Linked DNA regions of Callithrix jacchus. The protein of the gene in region 1 purifies or fractionates together with the protein of each later gene. This does not show direct contact. Links are inferred from orthologs where the notes say so. Each region holds a gene or a part of one and is shown on either strand. Other genes may lie near its edges.

Evidence for each region.
Region 2: the proteins of LRRK2 (region 1) and YWHAE purify together in Homo sapiens (co-immunoprecipitation; 6 studies listed by BioGRID and IntAct, with this or other methods). This does not show direct contact. The link is inferred for Callithrix jacchus from reciprocal best matches to the Homo sapiens genes LRRK2 and YWHAE.
Region 3: the proteins of LRRK2 (region 1) and CDC37 purify together in Homo sapiens (co-immunoprecipitation; 8 studies listed by BioGRID and IntAct, with this or other methods). This does not show direct contact. The link is inferred for Callithrix jacchus from reciprocal best matches to the Homo sapiens genes LRRK2 and CDC37.
Region 4: the proteins of LRRK2 (region 1) and SSR4 purify together in Homo sapiens (co-immunoprecipitation; 3 studies listed by IntAct, with this or other methods). This does not show direct contact. The link is inferred for Callithrix jacchus from reciprocal best matches to the Homo sapiens genes LRRK2 and SSR4.
Region 5: the proteins of LRRK2 (region 1) and RPL23 purify together in Homo sapiens (affinity purification with mass spectrometry; 3 studies listed by BioGRID and IntAct, with this or other methods). This does not show direct contact. The link is inferred for Callithrix jacchus from reciprocal best matches to the Homo sapiens genes LRRK2 and RPL23.
Region 6: the proteins of LRRK2 (region 1) and NCL purify together in Homo sapiens (co-immunoprecipitation; 3 studies listed by BioGRID and IntAct, with this or other methods). This does not show direct contact. The link is inferred for Callithrix jacchus from reciprocal best matches to the Homo sapiens genes LRRK2 and NCL.
Region 7: the proteins of LRRK2 (region 1) and DNAJA1 purify together in Homo sapiens (co-immunoprecipitation; 4 studies listed by BioGRID and IntAct, with this or other methods). This does not show direct contact. The link is inferred for Callithrix jacchus from reciprocal best matches to the Homo sapiens genes LRRK2 and DNAJA1.

What each region holds. Positions count from the first base shown.
Region 1 is NC_133510.1:35,407,594-35,411,093, forward strand, and holds part of LRRK2 (leucine-rich repeat serine/threonine-protein kinase 2), read right to left. Parts: intron 2,731-3,500; coding exon 2,549-2,730; intron 397-2,548; coding exon 167-396; intron 1-166. UniProt on the Homo sapiens protein: Serine/threonine-protein kinase which phosphorylates a broad range of proteins involved in multiple processes such as neuronal plasticity, innate immunity, autophagy, and vesicle trafficking.
Region 2 is NC_133506.1:66,853,282-66,857,356, forward strand, and holds the start of YWHAE (14-3-3 protein epsilon), read left to right. Parts: upstream 1-1,275; 5' UTR 1,276-1,387; coding exon 1,388-1,451; intron 1,452-4,075. UniProt on the Homo sapiens protein: Adapter protein implicated in the regulation of a large spectrum of both general and specialized signaling pathways. Binds to a large number of partners, usually by recognition of a phosphoserine or phosphothreonine motif.
Region 3 is NC_133523.1:9,582,222-9,585,355, reverse strand, and holds the end of CDC37 (hsp90 co-chaperone Cdc37), read left to right. Parts: intron 1-343; coding exon 344-526; intron 527-626; coding exon 627-698; intron 699-2,060; coding exon 2,061-2,216; 3' UTR 2,217-2,634; downstream 2,635-3,134. UniProt on the Homo sapiens protein: Co-chaperone that binds to numerous kinases and promotes their interaction with the Hsp90 complex, resulting in stabilization and promotion of their activity. Inhibits HSP90AA1 ATPase activity.
Region 4 is NC_133524.1:149,711,522-149,715,652, forward strand, and holds the start of SSR4 (translocon-associated protein subunit delta), read left to right. Parts: upstream 1-1,331; 5' UTR 1,332-1,417; coding exon of another isoform or gene 1,418-1,496; coding exon 1,497-1,563; intron 1,564-1,848; coding exon 1,849-1,929; intron 1,930-2,861; coding exon 2,862-2,980; intron 2,981-3,910; coding exon 3,911-3,985; intron 3,986-4,131. Other genes in the region: IDH3G (isocitrate dehydrogenase [NAD] subunit gamma, mitochondrial), read right to left, coding at 1,418-1,498. UniProt on the Homo sapiens protein: TRAP proteins are part of a complex whose function is to bind calcium to the ER membrane and thereby regulate the retention of ER resident proteins.
Region 5 is NC_133506.1:119,373,749-119,377,895, reverse strand, and holds the start of RPL23 (large ribosomal subunit protein uL14), read left to right. Parts: upstream 1-1,347; 5' UTR 1,348-1,371; coding exon 1,372-1,384; intron 1,385-1,952; coding exon 1,953-2,036; intron 2,037-2,068; exon of another isoform or gene 2,069-2,204; intron 2,205-2,315; coding exon 2,316-2,444; intron 2,445-4,147.
Region 6 is NC_133507.1:152,901,907-152,906,186, reverse strand, and holds the start of NCL (nucleolin), read left to right. Parts: upstream 1-1,480; 5' UTR 1,481-1,620; coding exon 1,621-1,638; intron 1,639-2,050; exon of another isoform or gene 2,051-2,272; intron 2,273-2,709; coding exon 2,710-2,841; intron 2,842-3,964; coding exon 3,965-4,280. UniProt on the Homo sapiens protein: Nucleolin is the major nucleolar protein of growing eukaryotic cells. It is found associated with intranucleolar chromatin and pre-ribosomal particles. It induces chromatin decondensation by binding to histone H1.
Region 7 is NC_133502.1:140,224,980-140,228,479, reverse strand, and holds part of DNAJA1 (dnaJ homolog subfamily A member 1), read right to left. Parts: intron 1,182-3,500; coding exon 1,067-1,181; intron 1-1,066.

The DNA.
Region 1 (3,500 bases):
TTCTTCTCCATTCTGGAGGCTGGAGTAAAATGAGGAGAAGTGAAGGGCTTTGGAATAATTCCATACAGTCTACCAGTTCTCTGGATATTAGAACAGAAAGCTCAGTTTTTTTAAACCCTGTTTATAACAAGTGGTAAAAGTGAATTTTAAAATTCTATAGAAATACCTGCAAAATCCCACACATTTAGAACGAGGTCTCTCTTTCTTTTGCCTCTTATTTGGATAGGCCAGTCTTTCACATCTATGCCAACTGTGGCACTCTGCATTCCAAGATCTGATTTCTTGATTTTCATTAACTGTTGCAATAAGGTGGTTTTACCACTCCCAGTATTTCCCACAATCATTAGTTTCATTCGGTTATAGGGTACAGCCTTTTTTAACCGCTGTTGAAGAAACCTAGTATTTGAAAGATAAAAATAAAATAATAAACCGCTTAAAAGTACATGAGATTTAAGTGAGTTGTTTTGCATGTAACACTATTCTAAGATATAGTTTCTAAAAGAGCGCATAGCTCATATAACTAATAATGAGTTATATAACTCATTAGTTATATATATATATAACTAATAACAATACGCCTTTCAGTGTATTGTTAATGCATATATTTTGCTAGAGATTTTAGTGTAGTTGATAGTGTTTGGTAGAATTACCAATATAACATGTTACACTACCACCAGAAATAATCAAAAGGCCAAAATGTGTTTCCAATACTAATCAGCATACAATACGCAATATGTATACATCTATATATACACACATATACATACATATGTGTATACATATTTGAATTTCTTTTAATAGTATTAAAAACCTTATAAAGTATAAAATTTCACAAAGTCCATATGACATAAAAACAAGATAAAAATATGTATACTGTAATAATAAACCTTGATAAGGTCATATTAGTTCTACATGTGTCTATATGGTCATATGTAGAATATAGGATGTATAGATAGATATATTTCACAAATGCATATAATAGTATATACAGATAGTGAGATCATATTACATCATACATAAATACATATAAACTATTATACTATCAGAAGATGTTAACATGGTTTCATTCCTAATGATCTTAACATAAAAACTGAACTAAATAGAAGTGTTTAGGTAGCTAAAAAATGACCTTTAAACTAACAGTAGATTTAAAGTGTTATCAAAAATATAATAAAAATAGAAAGACATATTTTGAAATATGTTAAAGTGTTGCCGCCATTTAAAATTAGAGAAAACCTAAATAAAAAATGAATTTTACATCGGAGTAGTGACCGATCTCTGACCAACATTTCTGATGATATAACTGAAAAGCAACATTACTTTTCTTCATTTTTTATTTCTTAAGATGGCAGCACTATTTGAAATATGTCATTCTTCAAAAAGCAAATGATGCCTACAATTTCTAATCCGCTCTAGGGTCTTTCTGTCTTTCCTGAAAACCTTAAACATGTTTAAAATATTTAACATATTTAGTTATGTAGCTTTAAAATACAGCATAATACACTGAAAGCTAGTTCTGCTAAACGTTTAGTAAGAATTGAACCAATTTTTATATGGCCAACTTTTCCACTTTCAAGAGGGAAAAATAATTGTGTAAAATGAAGGGTAGTCACTTTTAGCACAAAAGTTAAACTCTTTCCTTTACAATGAAATGAAGCTCAAGAATTCAGAAAACCAAATCCTTCCTCATAAAAAGATATAAAGTTAAATATAAATTTAAGAGACTTTAGGCGGAAGAGAATGAGTAAGCATAAAACACAGGTAATTAAACAACTATTAATTCTATGCCAGGCACTGTGTTTGGTGCCAAGATTTGAATAGTGAGTGAACACAGCCATGGTCTCTGCCTTGGTGCACATTACAGTCTAGCTGGGAGGTGACGACAGAGCTGAGGTCTGCAATGTTAATACAGTAACTGTGGGAAAGGGAGCAAAGGATTTTATGAGAAAATAATAAGAACAATGTGCTGAAAGGGAACAAAAAGTGGGATAAAATCCATTATTAAAGATATTTAAAGTGTTTCAAGTGTAAAGACCAGAAACAGCGATACTTGAGAAGTTTTGGTAGTTTCAGAGCTGATCAAGGTGAGTAGATTACTCATCCTAATGAGCAAAATAGAAGTTAGTGATTTCACATGATGTCAGTAACTATAATGCTTTAAGATGTAAGAGGCATATGTTTACTAGTTGCTATATGAAATACAGTGTGATAAGTTATTATACCGTGCCATATTTCTTTAGATTGTGTAATTGGTAACAAGAGACCGAATAACAATACATATTTTCTTTCAGAGTCTACTCCACTAAAAAGAAAGAGAAGGCAAAAAAGTCACTCTCAATGTTACCTGGCTAAGAAGAATGAAAAATCTCTACAGTGGCACCATAGAAACACATTCACTAAATGAAAGGCAAATGACACATAGCACATTAATGTCCAATATTACTATTGATTTTTTTCCCTAAAGCATAACAATATATGTCCATCGAAGTCACAGAGTGGAAATCTGAAATAAATTTGATAAAAACAAATAGAAATTAAATAATCAAACCTTATGATGTCTTTGGCTTTACATCCTATGTGTTTAAAATCAAAGTTAAGACGTAGTTCATCCAAAGGAAGGTCCCATATTTTGCTTAATTTCCCCATTTCATTGGGAAAGGATCTTAGTTCCAAGTTGTAACTGACATCCAGAGATGTCAGATTTTCAAGACAGCCAATCTCAGGAGGAATCTTAATGGAATAAAAAAGGGCAAAACCTGTTGGTGGGAAGTAAGAAATGTGTTCTGCCAAAAAATAGATGATAAGCAACAAGAAAGGCTCACAGATTCCATCAGCAGCTTGCACGAACTTTCAACAGAGTTCTAAAACTTTCCAAAGGCTTGTCAGAAGTTGTCAGTATGTGTTTAAAAACATAAAAACTTATATCTAAAACCTTACTCCCAAACAATCTAAGTCACTTATCTGTAATCTTTAAAAACCCAATCTCCTTTGGTAACATACTTCATCTCTTCAAGACATTGAAAGTAAGGAATTTCTCACCACAAAATGGATTTGGTTATCCAAATCCATTATCTGTGGCTTCATTCTGCTCCTTCAGTAAAGGCAGGAAAGCCTAGTCATCACAAACTTGCACGCAACTTAGTGTTCTCAAAGTACAGCGACATGCTTATAATTTAGGCGGCATCCTAATTGGAGTGCTTTCTTCTCTGTTCAGATCTTTAAGCAATATATATTATAATAGAAAACAGAGCCAGGCGCGGTGGCTCACGCCTGTAATCCCAGCACTTTGGGAGGCCGAGGCTAGTGGATCACGAGGTCAAGAGATCCAGACCAGCCTGGTCAACATGGTGAAACCCCGCCTCTACTAAAAATACAAAAAATTAGCTGGGCATGGTGGTGCGTGCCTGTAATCCCAGCTACTCAGGAGGCTGAGGCAGGAGAATTGCCTGAACCCAGGAGGCGGAGGTTGTGGTGAGCCAAGATCGTGCCATTGCACTCCA
Region 2 (4,075 bases), on another chromosome or scaffold:
TTCCCTGAGTTATTCCTGCCTCCTCAATCTTAAATTGATCTCAGTTCGACTATTCTATACTATGTACTCCACACCATCCTCTTCTAACAATTTCCCTGCTCCCATTCATGGCAGCCTCTGGGGAAAAAAGGTTAAACAGGAGAAGATAAAGATGAGTGTGAGGGCAAAGTGGAGGCGTGAAAACTGCAGCTCCCCTGTCCCTGCCAACTGTAATAGGGCCCAGTGTTGTTTTTTTTTTCAGATGGAGTTTTGCTCTTGTTGACCAGGCTGGAGTGCAATGGCGCCGTCTTGGCTCAACGCACCCTCCCCCTCCCGGTTTGAAATGATTCTGTTGCGTCAATCTCCGGAGTAGCTGGGATTACAGGCGCCCCCCACCGCGCCCGCCTCATATGTACATTGTTTAGTAGAGACGGGGTTTCGCCAAGTTGGCCAGAATGGTCTTGAACTCCCAACTTCAGTGATCCGCTGGCCTCGGCCTCCCAAACTGCTAGGATGGCAGGAGTGAGTCACCGCGCCGGGGCCAGGGCCCAGCTCTTTACCCTGAGGGTAAAAGTGTCTGCAAAAGGCCCACGACCAGGCTTGGCGGAGAAAACCAGGACGCTGGCTGGGCTCGGTGGCTCACGCCTGTTATCCCAGCATTTTGGGAGGCCGAGGCGGGCGGATCACCTGAGGTCAGGAGTTCGAGACCAGACTGGCCAAGATGAAGAAACCCCCTTCGCTACGAAAAGTACAAAAATCAGTCGGGCGTGGAGCCGCATGCCTGTAATCCCAGCTGCTCGCGAGGCTGAGGCGGGAGAATCTCTTGAACCCGGGAGGCGGAGGTTGCAGGGAGCCGAGATCGCGCCATCGCACTCCAGCCTGGACGATAGGGTGAAATTCCATCTCAAAAAAATAGAAAAAGAAAAAGGAAAAAGAAAACCAGGGCGCGGTAGAAACAGCGCTGATTTCAGGCAGGAAGACCTGCTATGATGACAGAAACCGTCCCAGCCTCCGTGGTGGTTTTCCGCAGGCCGGACGTCGGCCGTCAGTCTGGCCCAGGTCTCGCGCCCGCGGTTTTCAGGAGCAGCCCGGGCCGGCCTGGCCACCGCCGTCGTGTTCCCCGGGGGCCGCTCCCTCGCGGCAGTCGCAGTTCCCGCCTCTAGGCCCCGGCGCCCGCTGAGCGGACGGAGGAGGGGCGTCTCCGGCGCAGGTTCCAGGACCCGCCCCCCGCGCCAGTTGCCAGGGAGCGGTTGCCATAGAGCTGAGCAGTTGTCCGCGTGCGCAGGCGGAAGTCCCGGATTGAGGCGCCGCCATTTTTGCTGCCCGGACGCGGAGCGAAAGGCTGAGAGAGTCGTAGACACTATCCGTTTCCATCCGTCGCGCAGACCCTGCCGGAGCCGCTGCCGCTATGGATGATCGGGAGGATCTGGTGTACCAGGCGAAGCTGGCCGAGCAGGCTGAGCGATACGACGGTGAGTTGTGGGGGCAACGGGGGGCTGGAATTCTTGGACCCTCTGCCGCCGCCCACAGAGGCCGGGAACGGGAGACAAAATGGCGGCATCGTCCGCGAGCGTGGCCCGGGGACTTGGGTTCGGGGAGCGGAACCTGGCTTGGGAACTCCCGGAGCGACGGGAGGCCGTGTGCCCCGGAATGTGACCCCTTCGCTGTCCTCAGCTACACATACCTCGCGGGCCGAGAGGCCGGGGTGGAGGAGTTGGTTGTAAAATGGCGGCTGGGGGGAGGGCGAATCCCGGGGCGGGGGAGGGGGAGGAGATGGCGGGCGCTGCCGCGGAACCGGCCACCCCCAGGGAAGCTTCCGGGACGGCCTTGGGAGGTGGAGAACGATTGGGTAGGGTGACGGGGGAAGCAGCACCCTCCACACGGGAGAGCGCCAAGACCGGGAGCTGTAGCGCGGGCGCCTTTCAGGGAAATATGGCGGGTGGGGGCGGTGGCTTCTCCCCGGAGGCTTCGTGTGGGGCGGCGGCCGTGGAGTCTCACAAAGGAGAGCCTGGAACGCGATGCGCTTCCTCGGGCCTGGGTCGGGAGGCCGCCCTGGGTGACAGCGGGGAGCGGGCGAGCGAGCATCGCTGCTCTGGGTCCTGGGCGGTGGCGGGCTGCGGGGCCGCGGTCGGGTTTGTTTTGCGTCCGCCGGCGCCGCGGAGTGAGGGGTTTCGGGCTTTTCCCCCCTCGCCGCCTTCCGGGGAGGTCCAGAAGATCCGGGCTCCCGCCCCTTTTCCGCGCTCTAAATGGTGAAGCTCGAAGTTCCTGTAACCTTTCTCTGGCTCCGTCAGCAGCGGGTTCTGATGGATGGAACCAGGAGACCAGGGGGCTGCGCGACTCTGGGTTCGAGCCTTCGTCCTCGCGTTTGGGAAAACGATGACTTTACAGTTTGTCCGCACCCTCATGACACATGGGAAAAAAAAGACCTGTTGAAATAAAGTTGTTTCCAGTAGCGTTTAGTAACTGTATTTTGGTTGACTCTGCAGGCTCGAAATGCGGGTTTGTACTTCGTGGGGGACCTTTGCCTCTTCCAGGCACTCGGCTGGGCCTGGGGTCTTTGAGTTATGAAGGTTGGAGGTCCTATTCTTTTTTTTTATTATTATTTTTTATTTTAAATAAGTGGGTTTATGTAGGACTTTGAGTAGTTCCTCTTTGCTCATTGTCCCTTTGCCCTTAATTGGTTCTTCAGTCCTCTTTCAGAACTTGATCGAAATATCCATTGTGTCTGCCAGGAAGTTTCTTCTTCATCCTCCCCCCCATCCACCTTTTTTGACCTGTAGACTTGAATTTCCCTCACATTTAGAATTTTTCGATACTGTGGTATTACCGAAACCAGAAGTCCTGTATGCGGCTGCTGTGGTTTTCATGCTTTTGCATGGTACGGTGGGGTGAGACATGGTTGGAATCTAGTGTCCTTGATGTGAGATTTTTCCTGGTTAAGCTACCTATATTTCAAAATGTTTCAGAGGGCCATTGCTTTCCTGGAAATGCCGATTTGGTCATGTGAATAACCTCAGGGCTGGTTCCCATTATCAGAAATGAGGATTCAGGGATTTGAAAATAAGACAAGTCCTCTAGAGCTCAAATATACGAAATATGCTGAACTAAATTTCGTCTTGTAAATTCTTTGTTATTTGTATTGAACAAAGTTGCTGTTGGGGGAGGGAAGGGATAAAATGGGGAAGTACAGCTCAAGGTCAGCTCTCTTTATTTCAGTGTTGAAAAATCAAACAAATAGGTGTGCTTATATTGGAAGACTCCCCTCCGCCCTCATCTCCAGATGTTCCCCTCTTCATCTATTAGTGTTCTCCGTAGGAAACAAATGATACTTGAATGCTTTCTGTTTTGTGGGGATTGGGGCTATTTAATTAAACTGGCTGTGGTAACTAGAAAGAATGTGAGTTTTTTTTTTTTAAACCGATTGGAAAGCTTATGATTGTAGTTTCCAAATAAATTACAGGTTATTGTAGTTATATTTTGGCGTGAGGATTTCTGACCAGAACCTTTATTGGGTTTTGAACGTAGGATTCTTTGATACGGCCACAATATTGCAGTTATTAATGTTAGGTGTCCCTTTCAGCATCTAAAGCGGTAGGAAAATAGATCTCCAAGGTGAGGAGCTCTTCCTGTGACTTGGGCATAAGGTAAGGACTCAGTAGAAAGGGGAGGGGAGACAGACACCAGGAATCGGCCTCTGTCTTTGTCCATTCCTTTATTTAGGGCAATATTTTTTTGTTTGTGGTGACAAAAAGTTTTTCCCTTAGTTCTAGTCACCAAATGGAATTGATCAAGTGTGGGGAGGGGGTGGGACTGGTGGAAGAAGCTAAGAGTATTGGCAGGATTTCTTTTTTGGGTGCTTGTATGCAAGTGCTGGTTTTCCAGCTGTCCTTCGCTCTTATCTCCCTGTACTGCAGTAGGTTTATTTTGTTTTGCTTGCTGTGTTAAACGAGTGCCTAAACTTCTTTGTAGCCTCATTTAATTCTGTCCTGGGGCATTGGAATCAATTTATATGGATTATTTAATGGTACGGGAGGAAGAGTTAAGTTGTGTTCAGGAAAAGGACAATTTTGGGTCACAGGAAATACTGAAGTTTGGG
Region 3 (3,134 bases), on another chromosome or scaffold:
TCTTACCAAGATTGGGGAGACCAAGGACAAGGCAGGCTGGAGGGACACTCAGAGGCTGGGAGGTGGCTATGTTAAGTTAGAGGCGCCTATGCAGGGACACTGAGGACGTGAGTGTCACACATCTGCGGTACAGCAGGGCTCCCAAGCAGGTGGTCTTTAGCAAATGCCAGATGAGGTCCCTGGCTGGGGGAGCCCAAGACTTAGGGACCCCCTCATGTAGGTCAGGAACAGACTTGGGATGCCTCTGAAGCGCCTCTGAGGAGCTGCGGCTGGAGGGTCTTGGGCTCCCCAGTCCCTTCTGAGCATTGGGCTGGGTCCAGTGAGCACTGCCCAACCCCCGTAGACAGCGGATCGCCAGTACATGGAGGGCTTCAACGACGAGCTGGAAGCCTTCAAGGAGCGTGTGCGGGGCCGTGCCAAGCTGCGCATTGAGAAGGCCATGAAGGAATACGAGGAGGAGGAGCGCAAGAAGCGACTTGGCCCCGGCGGCCTGGACCCTGTTGAGGTCTACGAGTCCCTCCCGGAGGTGCGGTTCCCCAGGCCAGGCGGGCAGCAGGAGGGCCCTGAGCAAGACCCCCAGGGCCACAGGGACCCAGCCCCTGACCCCAGCTCCTCTGCACCCCCAGGAACTCCAGAAGTGCTTCGATGTGAAGGATGTGCAAATGCTGCAAGACGCCATCAGCAAAATGGACCCCACCGTGAGTAACCCTGGCCCTCCATGCCTTTCCAGCAGGCAATGTGTCTCCCCCAGCCCTGGGTCCCAAGTCTCTGAAGCCGGCTGGTGAAAGTACTCCTCCGAGGCTTCTCCAAGGAGTCAGGGGGGGTCACGTCACCTTGGCATACACCCATATTTATTGAGCACCTACTGTATCCCAACATCCAGCAGATGATTGCTGAGCTTTCAGTGCATGTCCCTCGTGACTGACAGTCACTGTTGCTGTGATGGCGTCCAGCCTCAGTTTCCTTATCCAGACCACGTTTTCTCTCAATATCAGCCCACAAAATGTTTGGGGAGGGGAGCCGAGCACATGGCAGTGACTGGTAAATGCTGGATGTTAATAGGGTTTTGACTGCTTGTTTTTGAGAGACAGGGTCTTCCTCTCTTACCCTGGCTGCAACTTTGACCTCCCAGGCTGAAGTGATCCTCCCACTTCAGCCTCCCCAAGTAGCTGGGATTATAGGCTGACACCATGACATCCGGCTAACTTTTTAAAAACATATGTTTTTATAGAGACAGGGTCTCACTGGCTATAATTTTGGAAGTGGTAATAGAGTTTGAATCTAAGTAGGACACACTTTAACTCTGTTCCTACCACTTGGCTCACTGGTTGGCCACACTGGTTTTCTCATCTGTAAAATGGGTCTAGTTGCAGGACTGGCCCTGAGGTTCTAGAAGCTTCTATGGGCATAGCCACCTAGACCAGGTCCTGCAAACTGCACCTCGAGGACTCACTGCCTATCTTTTATAATAAAGTTTTATTGGAACAAAGCAGCCACGCTCAATTGTTTCCCTATCACCTACAACCGATCTTGCTCTACCGCAGCAGAGTTGAGTCGTGACGGAGACCATATGGCTTGCGGAAACAGAAATACTTAGTCTGTCCCTTTACCAAAAAAATTTGCTGGCTTTTTTTCTAGATTGCACTATCTAAATTTAAATTAAAGTTAAATAAAATTTAAAGTACCAGCTGGGCAGCACTTCGGGAGGCTGAGGCAGACAGATCACCTGAGGTCAGGAGTTCAAGAGCAGCCTGGCCAATGTGGCAAAATCCTATCTCTACTAAAAGTACAAAAATTAGCCAGGCGTTGTGACAGGCGCCTGTAATCCCAGCTACTCTGGGGGCTGGGGCAGGAGAATTGCTTGAACCTGGGAGGCAGAGGTTGCAGTGAGCCGAGATCACACCACTACATTCCACTCTGGGAGACAGAGTGAGACGGTCTCTATATCAATAAATTAGTAAAATAAAATGAGCAGGAAGCCAGCTTGGGAATGTGCAGGGGACAACAGGGTGGCCACCAGGTGGCAGCCCTGCCTCACCTGCCTGCTCTTCTCCTTGCAGGACGCAAAGTACCACATGCAGCGTTGCATTGACTCCGGCCTCTGGGTCCCGAACTCTAAGGCCAGCGAGGCCAAGGAGGGGGAGGAGGCGGGTCCCAGGGACCCGCTGCTGGAAGCTGTTCCCAAGACAGGTGATGAGAAGGATGTCAGCGTGTGACCTGCCCCAGCTGCCACCACCATCTGCTTGCAGGCCCCTATGCGCCCCTTTTCAGCAAACAGATAGATGCCATCTCCCCTGCTCCTGGCCTCCTCCACTTGCGCTGCTCGGCCCAGCCTGGGGGGCCCACCCAACCGTCCCTGCCCTCTCCACTGTCCCCACTCTCCAGTGCCCATTCAAGTCTCTGCTTTGAGTCAAGGGGCCTCACTGCCTGCAGCCCCCCATCAGCATTATGCCAAAGGCCCGGGGGTCCGGGGAGGGGCAGAGGTCGCCAGGCTGGTCCATCAGGTAGTAGGGGAGGGTCCCCAGCCAAGGGGTCGGCTCTGGTCACTGGGCTCTGTTTTCACTGTTTGTCTGCTGTCTGTGTCTTTTATTTGGCAAACAGCAGTGATGTTCCAATAAAGGATTTCAGATGCTCTGGGCTGCTGTGAGGGCTGTTCAGGCAGCCCATCTCTTGTGGGTGGGAGTGAATCCTGGTGGAATATTGGAAGCTGGGTCTTGGTACTCTAGTCCTTTGCCCTCCAGCCGTTGTGGGTCCTTGCCTCACACATGCTGCTCCACCACTTTGAACAGTCTTCCTCCAGAGGCCCTAGAAGCCTACCACCCTCAGTTCTCACCCACCCACTCCCCTGTCCCTACTTTGACCTCCAGAATACAGGGTTGCCCAAGCTGATCACCGCCAGAGGGCAGCAGTGATCTGTAAACCAAGTCACGTTTTCTAGGGTTTTGCGAATTTTGCCTGCCCACGCCCACCTTTGCCCCTGCTGCCCCCTTAGAGCTTCCTACCATCATTTGGGGCAGCATCCTGGGCTATATCTCTCCGCCCTATGGCCAGTGCTGCCCTCCAACATTTTTGTTGTTGAGACAGTCTAGCTGTTGCCCAGGTTGGAGTGCAGTGGTGTGATCTCTGATCACTAC
Region 4 (4,131 bases), on another chromosome or scaffold:
GCCTTGTGCTCTGGCTTCCCTGTGAAGCCACCAAAGGAACCAGGTGAGGCAGGATTAATACACACACACCTCCAGCTCTCCCATCACCCTTTCGGAGTTCCACGGAAAGAAAGGGCGGCCACAACCCACATCTTATGCTTGCTGACGTTTCTCTCTCTGGCACATTTCTATTGGACCACATGCCAATGGTGGCTGTGTGTTTTCCCAAGGCGTCTGAATCACTGGGATCTAAGACCTGGGGTTTCTCTCTCAGGGTTCTCATGCCCAGGATAGTCAGTCTCAAGGCAAGGCACTGACCAGATACCGACCATTCACTGTCCCCCACTCTCACCCCAACGCACACACAGACACAGGGGAGGTCAGGGAGGAGGCTTATGTCTTCACCGAAAGCCTACAGGCACCTAGCTGCTGGAGCAACCAGAGCCTCTGGAAAGCCACTATATATGGCCATCCTTTCAGCAGCAAGGTGGGAGAAATCAGCAACGTCAAAAGAATTTCATTAGGCATAAGCAGTCTCCCCCAGAGGTCAGAGGGAGAAAACACAGCAAGTAGAGGTGTCCCTGGGGAGTGGCAGCAAAGTCACCGAGTTCTGGTAGGTCAGAGTTGACAGGATCCTTTGAGAATGTGAAATTTCCTTCCCTCTGGGTCCCAAAAAGGAAACTGGAACCCAAAGAGAAGAGGAACTGGCGTAAGGCCACGCAGTGGGTCAGTGGAGGAGTATGGCTTAGAGGTCAAACTTCTTACTCATCATGGCCAGTGCTGGATAGCAGCTGCTTCAGATGGTTTGCAGCCCAGCTAGGACCTAAATCAACCTCATCTTAAATATGCGTAAGGAAAGAGGACTTGGACCCGAATACGTAAGACAGCAGACGGAGAAGAGCAGAAGCAAAACCCCCGCAGCCTCAGAAACCCTAGTTCCCTTCCATTCCAGGCGTCTCGGGGGAAAGGCATCTGGGGCTCTAAGACTGTGGGAGAATGGGCGATGACTGGCAAAGTCCAATTCTTTTGCCACCGTGACAGGTGGCAAAGCGGTCCGCGAGAGGGGAACCCGGGGAGAGACAGTCCCACAACCGGATTTCCGAAGCGGTGTGAGAAGGGCGGGCCGGAATATGTGACCGCCTCAGAAGGACTCTTTGAAATACACTAAGGAGGTGACACCCGGCCGCTACGGCCCACTCTCCTCCGCCTGTACGGAGCCCCCCGCCAGCGAGGCGGACACGCTGGGGGAGCCGGCCCAGGGCCAACGTCGGCCAATCCCCTCAGTGACAGCAGAGGCGGCCAATCAACCCCGGAGCATAGCCCTCTCCCCGCCCCTGTTGGGGCCCACAGCCAATCGGACTCCAGCCTGTTTCGGGAACGGCTACCCCACCGCTCCCTCGCGAGCGCTGCGCTGTCCTTTGGCCCTTTCCCTGCTCACCTCCCAGGGACGGCAGAAAAGGGCTGGCCTGAGCACTGCCTTCGCAGCGCCGCTGGCGGCCGTCGCTACCTTCAGCGCCATGACGGAAAGTGAGAAACCCCGGACGTCCCGACACGCAGACGCCGTTCTCGCGAGAATTCGACGGTGTGCAAAGTCTGAGGGCAGGCGCGGGCCCCGTACTGCGCACGCGCGCGACCGCACTGATTCTCACGCCACCTTGCGGCGCCTAGAGCGCCGCTGCCGCCATGTTGTTGGGGTTGGGCTCGTGACCAGATGGGCCCCTGGCTCGGGGAGGGGCCACGTCAGTGCTGCCAGCGACGTCACAATGCCGGCCCGGCCCTTCGATGCATGATTGGCTGCCGCTGCCACTTACGCTCGCGCTTCCGTGTCTGCCCCTCGGGTTCATGGGAGCTCTTTCTCTTTTCCTCTAGTCAGAGAAGAGGTGATGGCGGCGACGGCATTTTTCGGCGCCCTGGCGCTGCTTCTGCTGTCCGGCCTCTCCCACTGCTCAGGTAGCAGCCCGGCAGGGTCTTGTTTGTGGCGAGCCTCTGACCCACGGCAGGTGGTGTTGAGGGGAGGAGGGATACGGGGTCTGACCTTTCGGTATCCGTCGCTGCGGGCCGGGCCTTCCTCCGAGAGGCAGGCTGCCTCGGGCCCTGGGGACCAAAGCACCTCACGCACGTTTACGGGCATCCAAGCTTTTCCTTGTCTGCTCAGACGAAGAGGAGTCCCGGAGCCTCCGCAGTGCGCCCGGCCCCCAGCTTCGGCACATGTCTCCGCTCCCGCTCCCTCTCCCTGCGGGTTCGGACAGGAGCAAAGCCTGTAGTGCTGAGCGGATCGCGGCCAAAAACGGGGCTGGAGGACCCACATAAGCCAGGAAGAGAGCTCAGTGAGGAGAGGGAGGAAGAGTGGGGCGAGTTAGATGGGGAGCCGAAGGGGTGCGCAGGGTCTTGAGTGCCAGGCCGAAGACCTGTGCTTCTGGAACCAGAGCCTGTTCCGTTTTCTTCCTCAGGAAACGCTGGGGCTAGTCTTGACCTTCTGTCAAATGGCCAGCGGCAGAGACCCTTTCCCTCATCTACCTGCCTGCAGCCTCTACCCGTGATGTACTCATCCAGGCTATTTGTGGCTCTGAATTGAAGCTGGCCTAGCCCCCAGGCCTCTGTGTCATAGGTCCAAGTGTTAGCATGCATTGTCCAGTGAATCCAGCCCCCACCTGCCCCCAGCACACCTTCAGAAAGCCGCCTTCATAGTAATCCCACCTCTCTTGCCACTGCATTTCTTACTGAGCACTTGGTTCTCTCTCTCATCTCACCTGGAAGGGGCAGGAGAATCCCGTGGGTCCCAAGCTGAGCCAAGCTGTGAGGCAGGGCCGGCCCAGCCTTCTACCCTCAGCCTGGCACACTTGAGGTGGCCTTCCCCAGGTATCTCTCCCTCTTCGCCGCAGCCGAGGCCTGCATGGAGCCCCAGATCACCCCTTCCTACTACACCACTTCAGACGCCGTCATTTCCACCGAGACTGTCTTCATCGTGGAGATCTCCCTGACGTGCAAGAACAGGGTCCAGGTGAGACAGTGGGGGTTCAGCCAGGAGGACAGGTTGGGGTGTTCCTCACCGGCAGTTGACACGGGGACCCGTGTCGACAGAGGAGGAATAAGGATTCCAACTCTTGGGGTGCTGTAGAGATCAGGAGACAGCGATGCAAGGTCACCCTCCGCACCTGCTTTGTCTGTGGTGCCTACACGACGTAACACTGGGCTCACACCCCGCTGTTTCCTGAAAGTGTCTGCACCCGGAAAAAGGGCCGGGGTCTACCCGCCCCGGTTGCCATTGGCCAGTTTCTCTGTGTGGGTGTTTTGTTTGGTTTTTATTTTTTCTTTGTTTTTTTCTGAGACAGAGTCTCACTCTGTTGCCCAGGCTGGAGTGCAGTGGCGCCATCTTGGCTCACTGCAGCCTCTGCCTTCCGGATTCAAGCGATTCTCCCCTCAGCTCCCAAGTAGCTTGGGTTATAGGCGCTCATCACCAAGCCCAGCTAATTTTTGTATTTTTTGGTAGAGATGGGTTTTCGAGGGTTGTAACTTCAAGATTGAGGAGCCTTGGCCTTGGCCTCTGACCTGTGTTCCCATAAGTCCAAAGAAGAAATTGGACCTTTTTTGGGTACAGACCTCTTAGAGTTAAACACCCCTTGGCCAGCCCACTAGGCACCCCTGACCCCAGGACCTCCCTTGCAGACTCAGGGAAATCGCTTGGACATTTTTATCATCCTACCCCTGCTCACAGTCAACAGGGTTCCTAATGGTTCCACTTAGGCCAGCCCATGGGGGGCCCTGTGCCCCATAGGGGAAGGCTGATGCAGAGGGCCAGTCACGGGATTGGTGAGTGTTCCCTGGTACCTCCTGCCAGGGACCTGCAGGCCATGTGAGCAGTCCACAGGGCTCCTCTGCCCACACACCCGGAGAGGGCAGAAGGTGACTCTGCCTTTGTCCCCTCACCCAGAACATGGCTCTCTATGCTGACGTCAGTGGAAAACAATTTCCTGTCACCCGGGGCCAGGACGTGGGACGTTATCAGGTGAGGGGCCAAGGGTGCCCTTGCTGGTGTTGTTCCCTGCTCCTGGGTGTAACATGAAGCCCCGGGGGTGGCTGGTCAAGTAGGGCCAGGGGCCATGGGTTCGGGCTGCTGGAGAGCTGCCGTGTCGGCACTGGGAGGCAGGGCTC
Region 5 (4,147 bases), on another chromosome or scaffold:
TTCAAGCAATTCTCCTGCCTCAGCCTCCCGAGTAGCTGGGACTACAGGCGTGTACCACTATGCCCAGCTAATTTTTGTATTTTAAGTAGAGATGGGGTTTCACCTTGTTGACCAGGATGGTCTTGATCTCTTGACCTCGTGATCCACCCGCCTCAGCCTCCCAAAGTGCTGGGATTATAGGCGTGAGCCACCGCGCTGGCCTTATTTATTTATTTAAACAGAGACTCACTGTATATTCCAGGCTGGAGTGCAATGGTGCGATCTTGGCTCACTGCAACCTCCACCTCCTTGGTTCAAATGATTCTCCTGCCTCACCCTCCCGAGTAACTGGGATTACAGGCACCTGCCACCATGCCCAGCTAATGTTTGTATTTCTGTGGAGACGGGGTTTCGCCATTTTGGCCACGTTGGTCTCGAACTCCTGACCTCAGGTGATCTGCCCACCTTGGCCTCCCAGAGTGCTAAGATTACAGGCATGAGCGATCACATCCGGCCTCATTCTATTTTTAATTGTGTGAATCCAGAAAATCGGAGACAGGTCTCAATTAATTTAGAAAGTTTATTTTTCCAAGGTCGAGGTTGCTCCTGTGACACAGTCTCAGGAAGTTCTGATGATATGTGCCCAAGATCATCGGGCCACAGCTTGGTTTTATACCTTTTAGGTATAAAAAAGACATGAGACATTAATCAATATATGTAAGAAGTACATTGTTTCGGTCTGGAAAGGCGGGACAAGTTGAAGCAAAGGCAGGAAGACTGGAAGTGGGGAGGTGGCTTCCAGGTAACAGGAGGTTGCAGTACGCTAAGATCGCGCCACTGTACTCCAGCCTGGGCGACAGAGGGAGGTTCCGTCTCAAAAAGAGAAAGAAAAAAAAACAAAAACAAAAACAAAACACGGGAGGGAGGGCAATAGAGCAATACAGTATATGTAAAATACAGAATGGTATGGTACCAAGCACACATAGATGGAATGATCTGTATAGCACTACTCAAGAGCCGTTTAGAGTGTTCCTTGGGGACCCCACACACGGCACAAACTGTGTTTTAATTCCTATTCTCTAGTGTGCAGATAAGTGCCTGGCACGTATTAAGTGCTCAAAAGAGGACGTAAGCAAGATAACAACAAATCACTGTTTCCACGTCTACAACTACTTTTAAGCTCGTAGAGAAGAGACTTCCAATCTCTTGCACTTCTACTTCAACGCCCACTTCCAGAGATGAATCAAACCGACGTAGTTAACCTATTACGTAATAAGGCAGCGCCCAAAGAGGGGTTAAGCTCCGGTCACGTGACGAGAGTGGGTGGGGCATCAAAGTTCATATCCCAGTATCCTTTGAAGCTACTTCCTTTTTCTCTTTCCGGCGTCCAAGATGTCGAAGCGAGGTGAGGTTTTACTTTTGGAGGATCCTCCACCATCTGTCGTGCAGTGCCTGGCGGGTTCATCGGGAGCGGTAGCTCTAGGCAGCTGGGGCGCTGTGCTCTCCTTCAGGCCCGAGATGGAGAGCTAGGCTACCGCGAGAGGACCGCCAGGACCCCCGAAAGTGGCACTGGGGTGCTTAAGAGTTGAGATGGCAGGATCTCGACTGTAGCCTGGATCCAGCGAGTTCGCTCCGCGAATAGGGCGTAATGGGGTTGAAGTTAGACTGGGTTAGACCCTGGTTTTCGAGATCTCTGCGGTCTTCTGCCTTGCAGAGGTAATTGAGTTTTTGCGAAAGTTGGAGCAAGGGCTGAGTCTTCCAGTTCCTTAATTTCGATGTCAGAGTGGTAATAGTGAGAAATGGCTACCTCCCGTGAGAATAGGGTGGCACACGGGGACGGCATAAGTAAAATTCGAGAGGGCTAATCTGTAGTACAGTCTATCAAAGCATGTGCGGAGTGTATGAGGAGGAACTCGGACCCATGTCTAGATAGTGGTCTCTTTATCCTGTTTCCCTTCCCTGTATATCCACAGGACGTGGTGGGTCCTCTGGTGCGAAATTCCGGATTTCCTTGGGTCTTCCGGTAGGAGCTGTGATCAACTGTGCTGACAACACAGGTGAGGTCTTTGACTGCACGCTGCTATACTCCCCCTTTTTAAAAGCACTCAGTGGGCCTGTGGCTAATGACCTACTGAGCCGTCAAGAAAGGGGAGAATGGAAACACCGCTTTTGGGTGAAGTGACAGCATGATGTGTTGTTTTGCTTCAATCAGTGGTGTGACAAGGCGCTCTTGGGGACTAACTGCTTCGGCAGTGAGTGTTTGGGAAATGTTATACTGACGCAACGGCCTGATCGGCCCTCAACATTTTGTGATTTTTGTTTGCATCCTTTTGTAGGAGCCAAAAACCTGTATATCATCTCTGTGAAGGGGATCAAGGGACGGCTGAACAGACTTCCCGCTGCTGGTGTCGGTGACATGGTGATGGCCACAGTCAAGAAAGGCAAACCAGAGCTCAGAAAAAAGGGTGAGTAAACATTGAGCCCTCCTTAATACAGATGGGTAGTGGGGGGACTTCTTCCTTTATTGGAAAAGGGGTTAGTTTCCAAGTTTGTTTTCCGTGGAGAGGCAGTGTGAGAATAAATAAGTTTTTGCTCAGACTGTGTTGGGAGGACCATCATTTTGTCACTTCCATATTTGCAGCTTGTGTCCTGTCTGGCTCTAGAACTGCTGGTATTTGATGTGCTTTAATTTCAGCTCTTGAACTTTTTTTAAACCCTGTGCCTAGTTAGTCCGTCTCTTTGCTGGGATGTCTTGCTTTTCTAAAGATTTCCTAGCCATTCCTTGATTTACAAATAAGATGTTGACTTGTCAGCCTTGTAATACACTTACTCCGCCCCACGATGCTCTCCAGTAGATTTTTTTAGCCCTTGGGTTAGAAATCTTTTTTTTGTGGCAGGTCGCGGTGGCTCACGCCTATAATCCCAGCACTTTGGGAGACTGAGGTGGGTGGATCACGAGGTCAAGAGATCGAGACCATCCTGGTCAACATGGTGAAACCCCATCTCTACTAAAAATACAAAAATTAGCTGGGCATGGTGGTGTGCGCTTGTAGTCCCAGCTACTCAGGAGGCCGAGGCAGGAGAATTGCTTGAACCCAGGAGGCGGAGGTTGCGGTGAGCTGAAATCGTGCCATTGCACTCCAGTCTGGGTAACAACAGCGAAATTCCATCTCAAAAATAAATAAATAAATAAGAAATTTTTTTTTTGTAGCCAGGCACAGTGGCTCTCATCTGTAATCCCAGTGCTTTGGGAGGCCAAGGCAAGTGGATCCATGAGGTCAGGAGTTCGAGACCAGCCTGGCCAACATGGTGAAACCTTGTCTCTACTAAAAATACAAAAAATTACCTGGGCATGGTAGAAGGCGCCTCCTACCCAGTTAGGAGGCTAAGCCAGGATTATCACTTGAACCCAGGAGCAGAGGTTGCAGTGAGCTGAGACCGTGCCACAGCACTCCAGCCTGGGCAACAGAGTGAGACATCCTCTCAAAAAAAAAGTGGCGGGGGAGAGAAAAGAAATCTTTTTCTGTTCACCATTAATATCCATTTGAGGGCTTGGTAGCACTGTAATTGTGATTTAGCAGTTGTGCTTTTTTCTCTTCTCAGAATACTTCCTGGGTCTGACTGGTGGCCCAGGAAGCTATCAGAGAAGAGTAGAGCAAATGGCCATCACTTTGTGGATGAGATGGCAGGAGAGTGGATTGTTGGTTTTAGTCAGTGGTGGAACAGACCAGAGCTCCGAACACTTAAGTGGTTTTTTTTTTGTTTCGAGACAGAGTTTCGCCAAGGCTGGAGTGCAATGGTGCGATCTCAGCTAACTGCAACCTCTGCCTCTTGGGGTCACCTGATTCTCCTGCCTCAGCCTCCTGAGAAGCTGGGATTACAGGCACACACCATCACACGCTAATTGTTTCTATTTTTCTTAGTAGAGATGGGGTTTCACTATGCTGGCCAGCCTGGTCTCGAACTCTCCTGACCATGTGATTCGCCCACCTCACTCTCTCAAAGTGCTGGTATTACAGACGTGAGCCACTATGCCCAACTTCTGTTTTAAAACTAGTTGTGAGTTTCCAGTTCTGGTTAATGTCTTTTTTGGTCCTTGTTTCTGCTAAATAAATACATCCCCTCCCCTTGGAACTTAATATCTATAAGTAACAAGTACAGAAATATG
Region 6 (4,280 bases), on another chromosome or scaffold:
CAACCTCACCTCCCGGGTTCAAGCGATCCTCCCACCTCAGCCTCCAGAGTAGCTGGGACTCCAGGTGAGCTCCACCCTGCCCCCCTAATTATTTTTTTTTGTAGAGAGGGCGTCGCACTGTACCCAGGCCAGTCTAAAGTTCCTGGACTTAAGCAATCCTCCTGCCTCAGCCTCCCAAAGTACTGGGATTACTGGCATGAGCCAGCGCGCCCGGCCTTAACAAGTAATTTTCTTTCTTTTTGAGACCGAGTGTCGGCTCTGTCGCCCTGGCTGGAGTGCAGTGGCACGATCTCGGCTCACTGCAGCCTTCGCTGTGCCAGTTCAAGGGCCTCGTTCTCTCAAAGTGGTGGGATTGAAGGCGTGGGTCACCGCGCCCAGACTCAGGTGATTTTTAAACAAGTCCGGCCGTAGCTGCAGGTATCCTGGTTCTGTAGGAACGACGAAGTATGGACGGATCCACACCTGGATCTATGGATGGGAAGGATCTCAGGGAGGCCCTGGACGGAGGGAAATGCTCTGGTTTGCTAAGCCTGGCACCGACTGAGACCCACCCACAAAGCGACCCATGGAAGTCCCTGGCGGCCTCCTCTGCTCTGCCGCGGGGGAGCCCTGCAGGTGGCTCCCGACCTGCTCCCGGGCCATCTGGTGACGCTGACTTCGCAGCCACCACCTTAACTGGCGCGTAATACCAACCAGGGAACCCGTGGGCGGCCAGAGGCCCGGCTCTACGGTCAGCCCGCCCAGGCACCTCTCCCTGCCATGTGAGGCCAGAAAGTTACTTCTCCGAGGCTGTTTCCCGTGACCAGAAATACCTCCCGCCTGAGGTTCTGTGGGGTAGGGGAGGTTCGTGCACTTCTCACAGAAAACGTCGCACAGACCCGCCACTGCCTTTATTAAGAGCTCTCAGGAGGCTGCCTGGAGCCGAGGGTGTCTCCGGCCCCATGCTCGCGGGCATCAGGGCGAAGCTGTGCCCCCGAAAGGGCCAACGGGAACTCCGCGGTCCCTGAACTTCCGGCGCTGGAGGGCTCCTCGCTCAGGGCTGCCGGGAGCCGCGGCGTGAGTGCGTGCCGGGGCCGCGCGCGGGATCTCTGAGGCCTCGAACCTCAGGGCTGTCGGAGTCTAGAGATGCAACCACGCTAGAGAAACGAAGGCCGCCCGATTTACACCACCCCCGCGCTCCCCTCACACCCGGCGCCAAAAACGCTAGTCCCACGGCGCAGGCTGGGACCCGCGCGCCCACGGCCCAATCAGCGCGGGCCTTCCACAAAGCGAGCCCCGCCCCCACGCCGCTGCTGCCAGCACCTCCCCCTCCCGTGGCCGTCTCGGCCCGCCCATTCCCAGCCCCGCGCCGTTCTTGGTTAGAAGCTCGCGATTGGCTCATAGGGACGGCCGCGAGCTCTGGTTGGCCGGCGCGGAGTCACGAGGGCGTCGTCGTCGTCTTTCCACAGGCGATTACTGGGCAGGCTCTGTCTTTCGCCTCAGTCTCGAGCTCTCGCTGTCCTTAGGGTGTACGTGCTCCGGGATCTTCAGTACCGCGGCCGCCATCGCCGTCGCTTGGCTCCCTCTGGGCTCATCTGCGTCACTTGCTCGCTCCACACTCCGCCGCCATAAGCTGTCGTCATGGTGAAGCTCGCGAAGGTAAGCGGCCTTGAGTGCGAGCACCGAGATCTAGGCCTGCTTTCCGAGGGGTGAGCGCGGCGCCGCGGGGAGGAGGGCCTGCGCGCAGTCCCGGCCGCGTTCGAGGGCGCCATGCTGCGGGAAGTCTCGCGCGATTAGTGGGGAGGTCTCGCGGTTTCTGGCTACTTGGTGGCGAGGTGAAGAGCTTCTGCAGGTGTTGGGGGCGGCGAACGCGGCGGGAAAGACAGAGTCACTGAGCGCGGGGAGGGGGCGCTAGGCCCCGGGGCAAGGAGATGAGACCAGACTCATCTCGCGTACGAGATGCGACGCGTACGAGCTAGAACCCGACTCCTGACGCACGTGCCCGGGAGCGCGGCCTGCCACGTGGGCCTCGCCGCGTGGGTCCGGGAATCTCCAGAGGGAGTGGTGCGTTAGGGTGGGAAATGGCGGTATCGGCCCGAGTCGGAGGACCGGCTGCGCTCGGGATGTCTGCCCCTGCCCGGCAAGCCGACACGTGGTGGGCCCCGGAAGGTGGCTCTGCCGCGGTGTTTCGGGCACGTGGTGGCCTACCAGGTACCCCCACGTGGCCGCGCCGCCTCTTTTAGGGGCGGGGTTGTCTCGCTGGGAAAGGAATAACGTTCATCAGAAAACCAAGGTATTTTTTTTAAGTGCCTTAATGATCTTCACTCATAATTTGGATTTGGATTTGGATAAGGGTTGTAGAATAAGGTTCCGGGATTTGAAGTACTAAAACACGGGTGTACTTAGAAAGCCTAAGGAAAAAAAAAAGTCAAACCTACGGTAAAAAGTCAACCTGAAGAAATGATTTCTTCACTTCTTCAGGTTGACTTTTTACCGTAGGTTTGATTTTCTGTTTGTAGAGCCTGACAGCAAACATGTGTGGGCGGTTGAGAGCAGGACCTCTTGCATTGCCATTAGGGCTAGTTTTTATGTTAGTTGTGCTGTTTGGCCCTATGAGAAATGGATCTGAGGAAGGAGATGATGGCGTTTTACACTGAACAGTAATGGCAAAACGTGAATGGCCTGAAATGTCGAAGTGAAGATGTGATGATGTACTTGTTACCATTTTAGGCAGGTAAAAATCAAGGTGACCCCAAGAAAATGGCTCCTCCTCCAAAGGAGGTAGAAGAAGATAGTGAAGATGAGGAAATGTCAGAAGAAGAAGAGGAAGAAGAAGAAGAAGATGATAGCAGCGGAGAAGAGGTAATTTCATCCAACTCAATGCGGAATTAAGTTAAAACTACAAAATGGGGAGTTAGGACATGAAATTGGATGTCTATGATAAAAATAAGATTTTATTCATCTGCGTATCTCCTGTTGTAGTGATCGAGTGTTTCACAAGCTCTTCGTTCATGTCAAGATGTCATTTGGCTAAATATTTGAATGTGAGTTTGAGACAGATCTGGGGATCTCCTTTCCATGTGCCTCTGCAGGGCTTGGAGTGTGATTTGTTGTGCTGAATCGTTACATTTGTCCAGTTTCAACATGTTATCCTCACCCCCACATTTTAGACACAAGGGAAAGATCTGTTCTCTCAATGGCAGAGCTGGGCGTTGTATTCAGATCTGAGGATAACCTTACCAGATTCCTTTCCTAGGCTCCATTTAAGATTAATTGGTCTCTATTCCATTACACTACTCACTGTGTTACTGTTGTCTCTGGTGTAGACTGAGGGCTGCCACCGCCCTTTGTGTTAACGTTTACCCTCTAGCACTCCTGGCTATTTATTTGTTCGCTATGAAGACAAGTGAGGACTGAATTGTGCTCAGACTTCTCTTTGAGAATTGAATAAAAGTTACTTTTCCATACATTGCCTGATAAAACTAGTAATCAAAAAGCAGATTTCAGTGGGACTTTATTAATGTAGCTAAATGGTGGATTCATCGTTTTGTAAGGGATATTCAGCCTATTTGATCTTCATTTCATCTCGTATCTTAAGAATTGAGCTTCACCAAGCTTGGTACCAGCACCTACTGTAGGAGCCTCAGATGATTTAATAACAGTTAATGCTTGGAGCCTCCTATGTGTACGGTTGTGAATAATTTACACATAGCAATTCCTGTTCCTTAGACATGTAAGGATGATACTATTACCATTTTCAGGTGAGAAAGTTGGGATTTGGGAAAGTATGAGGTATGAGAATTCAGAGGTATTTTAAGTGTTCAGAAGGGTTCCTTATTCCTAGATATTCACCTGATAATATGGAGTTTAACATGGTAACGTGTGTCTAGGGCTTGTGGTCTTGAACCATAGGCATTGACAGAATCTAACACTAGTTGGGACCATGGTTGTCTTCTTACTGGTTTGGTTTTCATTTATTCTCAAGGTTGTCATACCTCAAAAGAAAGGCAAGAAGGCTGCTGCAACCCCAGCAAAGAAAGTGGTAGTTTCCCCAACAAAAAAGGTTGCAGTTGCCCCACCGGCCAAGAAAGCAGCTGTCACTCCAGGCAAAAAGGCAGCAGCAACACCTGCCAAGAAGACAGTTACACTGGCCAAAGCAGTCGCCACACCTGGCAAGAAGGGAGCCACACCAGGCAAAGCATTGGTAGCAACTCCTGGTAAGAAGGGTGCTGCCATCCCAGCCAAGGGGGCAAAGAATGGCAAGAATGCCAAGAAGGAAGACAGTGATGAAGAGGAGGATG
Region 7 (3,500 bases), on another chromosome or scaffold:
AATTTCTGTATTTTTAACAGAGATGGCATTTCACCATGTTGGCCAGGCTGGTCTCAAACTCCCAACCTCAGGTGATCCACCTGCCTTGGCCTCCCAAAGTGTTGAGACTACAGGTGTGAGCCACCACCAGCCAAAATATTAATAATTCTAAACAAGTTTAAGATGTTCCCAATTTCACCTCCAGTCCACTTAAAAAAAAAAAAAAAAGATGGGCTCTGTCACCCAAGCTATAATGCAGTGGCATGATCATAACCTTCAACTCCTGAGTTCAAGCCACTCTCCTGCCTTGGCCTCCCCAATAGCTAGAATTCCTGGCCTCAAGTGATCCTCCCACCTCAGCCTCCCAAGTTGCTGGGAATATAGCATACACAGAGGGTCTGTTATGTTTTGATATTAGCTGTGAATATATTTAACACAAACATTTGCTATTAACCATCAGTCTTTCTTGTGCTTCAGTGTTAAGTTCATCATAAACTTGGTATTATTTAGTTCACAATGGTAGACCTGAATTTTTTTTTTTTTTTTTTTTTTTAATTGTGTTGATGCTCTTTACCATTTGGTATGTTTTTGGAGTGGACCTGAATTTATACTTAAATATTGAGTTCTAATTTAAGTTTCCTACAGAGATGCTTTTGGGTATTTACAATTAAAAGCAATTCAATTTATCTTAAACTTAGGATTGAAAATTGGTGAAAGCTTTAAGGCACTTACTTTAAATTGTTTTACAAAAACTGAGGGCAAACTTTTGTCCAGGGATGTTTTCCCCCAGCCATTTGGTGTTTAGGTTCACACAAAACATCTAACTGAAACACATTTTCAATGTTCCATACTCAAGAGACAAAAAGCTAAAAATCTGATCCCATGTATTCAAGCTCTTATGATTCAAACAATGGTTAACAATCTATTACAAGATACATTATACACAGTATAACTGTCTTGCTATATTTTCCTAGCATATCTCCAGGAAATATGTTGCAACAGTAATGGTAAACACATTATAAACAACCAAAACCAACAACCCAAATATGTAAAGATGTCAATTTGAATGGTTTATAAAATTCTTTACCGAGTAAAAACAGCATGGTCCTTCTGATCTAACACAATGATTATATCTCCTGGCTCCAGTCCTGGTTCTTGGTCTCCTTCACCATGGAATGTTATCTTCTGGCCATCTTTCATGCCTTAAAACATTAATTTTATACTCTTAAGGTCAGAATAATAAAATCTATACATAGATGTTTATGCATAAAAATCACAGAAATGACTAAGAAAGCCCACTTTCTTAGTAGTTCAGTCCAATCTGTGCCTGAAGAAAGGTATCATAGTGGGAAATACAAACTCTAGAAGCAAGGACCAGCCTTCAAATCTCAGGGCTGCTATTCACTGGCTGGATTACTCTGGGAAAGTAAGCTGCATATCCTACCCAAGTTTCAACTTTCCCACACCAACACATTATGATTGTCAAGTGTATCAACTAAACAGTTATAAGCTGGTACTAAACCAGTGACTGGCAAACATTGGTTATAACCAAAAAATGTTAATTAACTATTTCAATTTCATTACTTATAAGAACATATCAAACTACTTAAGTCTAACAGCAATGTAAATCAAGACCCTTCTCACTGTTGTAGTATTTATATATATGAAACTAGAAAAATTTAAAATCTATAATCTTAATTCTTGAGATAGGCTATTGCTCTGTTGTGCACGCTGGAGTGCAGTGGCACAAACATGGCTCACTGCAGCCTTGATCTCCTGGGCTCAAGTGATCCTCCCACTTCAGCATCCTGAGTAGATAGGACCACAAACCAGCTAATTTTTGAATTTTTTTTAAAATAGAGATAGAGATTCTCATTATGTTGCTCAGGCTGGTGTTGAACTCCTGGACTCAAGGGATCCTCCTGCCTTGGCCACCTATAGGGTTAGGATTATAGGTGTGAGTCATGGTGCCTGCCAAAAATTCGTATTTTTGTGTAAGAACTATTCAGTTTGGCCGAGCACGGTGGCTCAGACCTGTAATCCCAGCACTTTGGGAGGCAGAGGCGGGCGGGCAACACGGTGAAACCCCATCTCTACTAAAATAAAAAAAAAATTAGATGGGCGTGGCAGCATGTGCCTGTAGTCTCACCTACTTGGGAGGCCAAGGCAGGAGAATTGCAAGAACCCAGGAGGCGGAGGTTGCAGTGAGCTGAGATTGTGCCACTGCACTCCAGCCTGGGCAACAGAGCAAGACTGCATCTCAAAACAAACAATAAAACAAACAAAAAAAACCTATTCAATTTGTTCCCCTTAAAATTACACTTTGGGGAGGCCGAGTCAGGAGGCTAGCCTGAGAATAGCACCCTGGACCACAGGAGTTCGAGACCTTGTCTCCTTTAAATTAACAAAAAAAAAAAAAAAAAAAAAGAAAAAGAAAAAGAAAAAAAAAATCAATCAAAACTAGACACTCCCTTAGCTCATATGGTCCATAAAATACAAGGAGAGTATTTATTTTCTAACAGGGCAAGAAATTTTTAAACAGGCTTTTTTTTTAAAAAACTAAGATTTCCCCAGCCCTCACCTCTGACCCACATATTTTAGTTCAGTAAGGGTTTGGACAACATTTCTTAAAACATAACTGGTGTAAGAAAACCTGTGTTTGTACAGTATTACACCGAAGCAGTTATCTCCTGATTATTTCCTGAGATCACTCTGGTTATCTAACAGAGCAATCTTGTTTCACCTTTTAGTATGGAAAATATTAATCCTGTATAAACAGAGCCAACAGTACAATGAATTTCTACATATCCATTCAATCTGGCTTCAGCAGTTATTAACTCATGATTAATATTTCATGTATTATACCCCTGCCCATGCCCCCCACAAATACTTTCAAGTAAACCCCAACCATAACCATTAACCCAAATACTTCACTGTTTACCTCTTATATAAAGACTTAAAGCAATATCAGTATCATACACTAACAAAATTAAACAATCTGTCTTTAATCGCCTATCCATGCAAAATAACTTGTTATGCTAGTGAAGCAATTAAACTCAGCTAGGTTTTCCTGAATAAAAACAAGGATAGGCATAGCACAAATGTCTTCACTTGCTACATAGTTAGGGTATTAATTTAAAGTCCTTGCTTAGTGTCCATCATTGATAGGTTCTTGGAAATTGCTTTAAATGAAATGACACATAACAAGACCATTTTTCCCCCTCCCCTGTGTTATAGTGACATGACATTGAGATCAATTTGCCAGAAGTCCCAGTTTCCAAGAACCTATCAACAACATTAAGTGAAGACTTACTCTATATGCTATTGGTATCAAGAACACCTCAAAATATAAACCCTAGGCATGGGCCCATTAAGGGGAAAACAGATTTATTAAGTTCAAAAACTGGCCAAGGAAACTTACTTTTACATTTCAATGCACTACATTCTTAGGTGGAAAACCTTGGGGGATCAGAGAGGCCAGTATCATGAGTCATGTGATAGAATCCTATTGCAGCCACTTA